Drosophila melanogaster: one gene and its partner. The protein of the gene in region 1 interacts with the protein of each later gene in a pairwise test. Each region holds a gene or a part of one and is shown on either strand. Other genes may lie near its edges.

What was found.
Region 2: the proteins of CG4884 (region 1) and Acp65Aa interact in a two-hybrid assay, tested with the Drosophila melanogaster proteins (one large-scale study listed by BioGRID).

What each region holds. Positions count from the first base shown.
Region 1 is NT_033777.3:27,956,810-27,961,353, reverse strand, and holds CG4884 (uncharacterized protein), read left to right. Parts: upstream 1-2,108; 5' UTR 2,109-2,178; coding exon of another isoform or gene 2,179-2,276; intron 2,277-2,334; coding exon of another isoform or gene 2,335-3,166; 5' UTR 3,167-3,254; coding exon 3,255-3,547; intron 3,548-3,609; coding exon 3,610-3,682; intron 3,683-3,734; coding exon 3,735-3,938; 3' UTR 3,939-3,998; downstream 3,999-4,544. Other genes in the region: CG31253 (uncharacterized protein), read left to right, coding at 820-1,959; CG42487 (uncharacterized protein), read left to right, coding at 2,179-2,276, 2,335-3,166; Nep7 (neprilysin 7), read right to left, coding at 4,116-4,544.
Region 2 is NT_037436.4:6,151,234-6,154,443, forward strand, and holds Acp65Aa (adult cuticle protein 65Aa), read right to left. Parts: upstream 1,513-3,210; 5' UTR 1,447-1,512; coding exon 1,435-1,446; intron 1,354-1,434; coding exon 1,048-1,353; 3' UTR 817-1,047; downstream 1-816. Other genes in the region: Lcp65Aa, read left to right, coding at 100-408.

The DNA of each region.
Region 1 (4,544 bases):
CTGGACAATGGTCTCCACATCCGGGCCGTAGACCTCAACTGCTGACGGATAGTAGCGTTTGTCCTCGTGCAAAACCACGGCGGTCACCTCCTTGTCCTCGTCCTCCTGTGGCTCCACCTCGTCCTCGTCCATGGCGTCCTTTAAATGAAACACCATAAATTAATTATAAGTTTTATTTTATTTTTTGCACGTTTATACCTCTGGGTCATCCTGCACATCGGGTTGCCCATAAATACTTTGCTCATCTTCCTCGTCGCTGTCTAAATCGGGGCCAATATAGTTGCCAAACTCATCGTACAAATCGGAATCCATGGTTTTTCCTAAAATAAATATATATATCAATACTTTCATTCAAAATTTGCCGGTGGCGTCTTAGAAAATTTAAAACTTTCACGGTGACTCGAAACTTATGCTACTCTTGTTTTTTGTTGTTTTTACCGACTTACCAATTGTTACAGGACCTTCTGATTGCTAAATTCTTCTTTAAAACGTAAGAAAACTGCAAATAATATAATTATTCACAATTTTTACACAAAAACGCGGACTGCAAACACGCTGTTCTTCTTCTTCCCCGAAAAACACTCAGCTGTTAAGCGGCCGGCATTACCTACGGCATTGCCAGCACAAATAAAGTAAGCGCTTGCAGCCCTGGCGGCAACATTTGAATTTTCCAGTTCATTAGGGCTAATTAACGTTTTTGCCAAGAAAGCAGGTAGCTAAAATACGCGTTGAAACGTAGGTAGACCCTTGCGTTTATATTGCACTGCAGTCGCCAAAGGTAATTAGTCGAAAGTGTCAACCGAAGGTATCAGCATCATAATGAGAAAATTCTGTTTGCTTCTTTTAATGGCGCATTTTGTGGCCTCAAGCCGAAATTTAAACGATATTCTCGGTCGCGAGGAGTGGATTAGCATAGCCAAGGAATACATCAAGAACCACAAGCCTTACAAAGCCAAAATCTACACACCCTACAAGCCGCGCATCGTAAATTTTACCAATCCGTTCGATGGAGATTTTTGGGACACAACTACGGTGGCCACCAATCCGCAGGAGACTACTGGCTACTTCACTGGGGAAGTATCTACTACAACGGAGAAAAGTGCCACTGAGGAATCTACAACTACGGCGGTGGATTATTCAACCACCGAATCTAGTTATGTAACTTCAACCACGGATACTTTATATTCCACGACAACAGCTTGGCCGGAAGTCACCAGCACAGATGCTATAGATGCCACTGAATCAGTAGCCCTATATTCCACAACAACTTCGAGTCCAGAAGCTGCAGATTCAACGACAGAAAGCAATTCAGACAGTACTGAATATGCTGAATCAACGTTAATTTATCCAGATTTATCTACAGGATGGCAAGAAACTACTACAGAAACCATTCAGAGCTCTACAGGATTGCAGGAATCAACAACAACAGAGTTTATGCCAAGTACTACGGAATTTCCGGAATCAACGACTACTTTAAGTTCTGAATTTTCAGAGAAAGAACTAATAAAAACTACCACAGAAATAGAAATCAATCCAAGCACTACAGAATTGCCGGAATCAACGACTGAATCTGCTGATTCTACCACAGAACCGAACGAATCCACGTTTGCATTATCCACAGATCAAACTACAACTGAAACAGCAGAAACTTCAACAGAAGAATTGTTTTCAACCACAGAAACCCAGGAATCTACTACATCCTTGCTGGAAATCATTGCCACGACTCCGGGCGTGGAAACTACCACGTCGTATCTGGATGCAGTGATTGACAGCACCGAAGAGGAAAGTTCTACATTATCAACACCATTTGGATTTAATTTAACAACAACGGAAATAGTAGAAACTCAAGTAGAAACCACAACACCAAGGCAATTGAATTTCGTCGAAGATTACGTTCGCCAGAGACCGAGAAAATTGAAGTACTCTTCGGACACGGAGCCGGAACTTTACTGGTACTGAAAATGATTGCAAATAAAAATTAAGAGTTTGATTAAAAATTTTTAGAAGCAAAAATTAAGAGTTTTAATTTAAATAAAAACGTAAAGCAATTGGCAACGCGATTTAAGCTATGGCTTATTTTAAACTAAGAAACGCGGTCACACTGGCCAAAAGCCAAACACATTGTTGTTTGATTTTTCAGCAGAAATTTTTTATTTTTTATTAGTTTATATCGTAAACATGAGTTTGTCCAGCATAAAACAGAAAGAAGCTAAGGGCAAAAAGAAATTGCTGCCCAAACTGCGCAATATTCTAGCCAATCCTTACAAACAGCACAGGTGAGGCGGGCAGAAACCAATAAAAACCCAATCAACAGGTTGTTTCTTTTGACTTTAGCCCTCTTTTATCGGAGGAGGAAGTGCAGCAGTTCCGTCAGATCCTTCAGAATGCAATTAAAAGCAGCGACGGGCAGACCAAATCGTTTGCCACTCGATACGGAATACATCTCGGCCTGGAGAGCTCCCTACGCGCCATAAACTCGCGGCGTTTCTCCTGCCTATTGGTTTCCTTGAGCCTGCGACCAACTCACCTCGTCCGTCTAATGGCCACCAGTGCATCTGTCAAGATGCCCACGGCTCCCATTTACGCGCAGCCCAAACTGGAGGAGCTTACCCAGGAAATCTTTGGCGTTAGAGCGCTTTCCTTGGCCTTGCCATTAGATTTGAAAGCAATAAGCGAGGACTTGGAACAGTGGATTACTGCCCGAAAGAGAACACCTACACCTGCTAAGAAGATAGCCCCGAAAACGCACAAAAAACCCAAGAAGAAACCCGAAATAATCAAACCAGCCGAAGAGGAAAAAAAACCGCAGCTCCCAGTGGCTGAAAAGAAGGATTGGGGTGATGATTTCATATCCTGCTTCTCGGACGAACCCTCAGTAAAGTTGGACCGCGTGGATGTCCAGGTGGAGACCCAAAAACTGGGCAATGCCCTCAGTAATTTGGCAATGAAAGCCAAAAGTAAAAAGCCGGTAGTAGAAGTCAAAAATAACCCTGTTAAAAAAGAGAAGTCCCCCAGCCCAGAGCCCATGGAGGTGGAGCCACATGATGATGATGATTTCCTGCCCGCAGATCTGCACAACTATCGCCCCCTTACTGTCTACCAAGTGCGTCCTAATCCCGACAAGAAACCCAAAAAGAAACGAAACAAAAAGGCAAACAAGTCCTAGAGATGGTTGGCAACGCCACCGCAACAGCTGTAGTTTTTAGGTTATGTTATTCAGTTTGTTATCGTAATTGTTAAGGCGCCCACACAAAATGCTCCGGACTTTTCGTCAAATAGCCCGACTAGGAAGATCCCTAAGGACGCCATTTCCATCTAAAAGTCTGCCTAAACTCTCAACCACCTTAGAGCTGCAGGCTCCTGTACACACCAGTGCTTCAGCGTGGAAGTACGACAAGAAATCCTCACGAGCATCGGATGACTTGGACAGCGACGACGAGGATGATGAGGATTTCAAGGACGAAAGGGACTCCAAGGTGGTCAAGACCAAGGTGAACTCACTGCGCGCCGATCTCCTACTGAAAGCTGGCCTGGGCATGGCGAGAAAGTAAGAAACAGCCGAAGGTTTTCTAAATGCCCCCAATAACCATGATGTCTTACCTCCCACAGCAAAGTGGAACTGAATTTCTACGAGAGCAAGATACGCGTCAATGGAAAGAAGCTGCCCAAAAAGAGTGCCCAGGTATGGAGTCCATATATAGATCGAATTCAATCTTATGATTTACCATTTACAGCTGGAAGTCGGCGATGAAATCGACGTAATCCGAGGCTTTAGTCAATCGAATCCTTCCCATCTGGTCGTGGCCCGCGTCTCAATCCTCTCCGTCAGCGAGCGCGAGGAAGGACTCAGCGTCCACCTGAGGCGCTACAAATCCCTGCTGGTCGAGAATTACCGGGGACCCAACGCCTTCAAATCCTCAGAGCACGTTGCTCATTAAAACCAATTAGAAATAAAGAGACTATTAAGAGTAAATGGGTAAAGTCGAGTGAGTTAACTCAATTGCAGAAATGTGTAAGACTATATCGTCGATTTGCATTATTTTTCCTGTTTTCATTTATTTTGTAGTTGAACATCTAGAGTATTTTACATCTTTTCCTTTATATACGACTTATGGTCACCACATCCGACAACTCTCAGCCTTCGGATGCATTGGACTGCCCAGTGGGCACTTGTAGACCTCAGCAAAATCGTCGTTGTTGGAAACGGCACCCAGCACCCGATACTTATCGACGGTATGTGCGCCAGTGAGCTCCTCCCAGTAGTGCTCCGGCTCGTAGTCGGCGCACCACAGCTGCGCGAATCCCACGAAGAAGAGCTGCTCCGGCGACAGGTCGAGGCCGGGCATCTGCTCGTTTTTGTGAGCCAACGTCTCCCCATCCGCTCCACTTCGTTGCAGCTGCTTCATGTGGTTTCGATAGCCGGTGAGTGCGGCCCTCAAGCCACCGGCGTCCGCTATGTTCTCGTCCCTTGTCTCATTGCCGCGAATTGTCTGGTTGATTTCCGGTATCAAGTATTGGTTGAAGTAATCCACATAGCACTGCGC
Region 2 (3,210 bases), on another chromosome or scaffold:
TTGTCCCAAAGTGCTAATTGCATAAGCTGTCTTAGCAATCGTATAAAAGACTCCTGCAATCTGGCATTTTGAATATTGAGTAATTTTTGACTATTCAAGATGAAATCCATCCTTGTGCTCGCCTGCCTTTTAAGTGCCCTGTGCCTAGCTGCTGCCGCTCCGGATGCAGAGATTGTTGACCTGGTGTCCGATGTCAATGCCGATAGCTATAGCTACAAATTTGAGACAAGCGATGGCACCAAGCAGGAGCAGCACGGCTCCCTGAAGAGCCTTGGTCCCGAGGAGGATGCCTTGCAGGTGGCCGGATCCTTCAGCTTCGTAGGAGACGACGGACAGACGCATGCCATCAGCTACGTGGCCGATGAGAACGGATTCCAACCCCAGGGCGAGGATATTCCCCACCTATAAATCGGTGTATGATGGTAATTAAAAAGGTCTTCTAGTTGAAAACTAGAAATCAATTGGAAAAACAAGTCATTAAATCGAAATAGGCTCAGAAACCATAATACTGAATAACCTTTTATCGTAGCTCAGTTTAAATAAAGAATAAAACCAATTGTTATGTTCCTTAAAAATATTTTTAAGATTAGTACCTTCGTAAATTTTTTAGATGGAACATCTTGTATATTGATCATTTTGAATCAAAAGAAATAAAAGTGTGAATTTTCATAGCTAAATACGATAAAATAGAAAATAACTCTGGTACTTCGTTATAATTATAAAGGAAAGTTATCTAGTGCAGTTTCATATTTTGAATGACCCTTCCCAGAACTGGTGACTTACTTTATGGGTTCCACAAAGAAAACATATTTTTTTCGAGAATCGAAAGTTCGGCTTTAATGCGAGTAACAAGGAAAATAGAAAACAATGCACGACACTGACTTGACTGACTGATCGACTTACTAACTGACTGACCGATTGGCTGCCACGGGACAAGGGACAGCTCCTCCGGACAGGACCTTAGCACCTCACTGTATGGCTGGTTGGTTGGAATTGTGGGTTCATTCGGGAAGGTGGTATTTACAGGATCTCCTCGAAAGCGGAGGTCTACTTGGGCAGATGGGCACCCTCCGGCTGAAAACCGTTCTCGTCGGCCACAAAGTTAATGGTGTAGGTTTGGCCATCGGGAGCCACCCAGGTGACGGATCCCCGAATGGATATGGATTCGTTGTCGGTGCCCGCGTTGTTGACCACGCCCTCCTCTGTTCGACTGGTGCCATCGCTCAGTTTGTAGCTGAACTTGTAGCCGCCGAGGCCGGTGTTCTCCGATTCGTACTCAAGAACTTCCACATCATTTTGCGGCCGGGCACTGGCCAGGGCCAGGAGAAGGGCTATCGAGCCAACGACTAGCATCTGCAAGGCGGTAAGAGATTAGGTATCCTTTTGCGTATCCTGGTTGGGCATGGTGCGCCTCGTTTATCCAAGTTCACCTACCAATTTCATCATGTTGAGCGGTTCTCGAAATTGCAGATTCTCCTATGCGGCTGGACAAACTGGCAGTTGTCTAATGGTGGCGTTGCATCGGCGTCCACTGCATTTTATACTGCACTCGCGGCTGCATTTGCAAACGTCATAAATTTGCACAATTGTGGAAGAAGCCAAGCAGCTCGCTAGTTCAGCAGCTCTGGCGGTCGCCGGCTAAATGTTTTCCACTATTTCCATTTTGTTTTTGTTTTTTTTGTGCTGTTTTTCAATTGCCAGCGTTGCACCAAAGTCGCCAAAGTCGCTGCGACAAGTAACATTTAAAGCGGCTTTGTGCAGCGGTGTACTCATCCGAAAGGTATTATTGCTCTTCACCCACACTCGAAAAAGCATTCTAAGTTTCAGGGCGATTCTGTGAGAATAGTTATCCACAATCAATATGTCTTCATATTTTTAACAAGAAACCAAACATAAAAATAAGCATGTTAAAACTAATGTAGTTAGAACATAAAAAATATTTATTTAAACCTATAACACTTAATCATTCGAATATCTTTCGTTTTACACCCACACTAAAACCACCTTTCGAAGTTTTAGTGCAACTCATTAAGTACTTAAATCTTAATTGAAATAAACAAAACAATTACTTGAATATAATACCACATTTAAGATGTACTGACATTTTCTGTCAGTGCCGACTGGTAGCTTTAGAAAACTCGAAAAAGTTCATGAATCAAGCAGATGCATTGGGGAAAAGGTTGCGGTTTGATTGGGCAGCTACGGGGAAATACCGGGCCAAGAACTATGGGAAACAATAACCAGAACAGCTCGTCAGATGGGCCCAGATCGAACCGAAATCGACGACATATTGGTGGCCCAAAAGAGACTAAGTTCAAGTGCTGTCGCCGCCAATTGGCAGGGCAGCAAGTTCAAGCCGCGGACACGAAGAACACGAGCTGAGCCATGTGTGATGGCCAAAGTGCACGATGGATGAGGCTGTGGATGGAGATGGAACCGCAGGTTGACTTTTGGCATATGCAACGGCCTTTACAGCGCTCGATTGATGTGCCTGCCCGGTAACAAGAGCCAAAAGCAGTTGGAAATATATATAAAAAATACATCGAATAACCTACAACTACGGCTCGCATGCAATTTAAATCTCTGACTCTTGCTTTTTGTTGTACTTTTAGCATTTTTTTTTTAATTTAGTTTTTAAGTCGCCGTCGCCGGTGCTTGCCAATTTATGCCACCTTCGTTGACCGCTAGCAGGCCGATGAAGAAGCCCCAGCAGCGGATCTTTCAAGCCGGTCAGTCGGGTTTTAACTTTGGTTATCGGTCGGCCTCTGGTCAACCACGGTTCTGCCCCAGCCTCCTCCTCCACTTGAATTGAATTGTGCCAATTGTGACTTAATGTCTGACCCATCGACAGGGTGTTGTGCACTGATACTGGCATTTCCTCAAATGTCGTTGAAAATCACATCATTTTGGTTGATTTTTTGGCAGCTGCAATTTGGCATTTTGCCATTCTTAACTTGCTCGTTAAAAATCATGGAATTGGTGACATCCGAGGAATGTTATCAATCAAATAATATTGTCCATATAACATGTAAAGAACGCATCAAATAAGCAAAGCGTCTTTGCAATCAAAAGCAAAAGCAGACTCAACAAATTTCTGTTGTCATTGTTTATTCAGCAAAATTGCATTACATTAATACAGTGTGAAAATTACTTATTGTTAGTCAAATGTGTAACTATAATTTTCTGATTAGACCGCAAATGGAAAAGTTG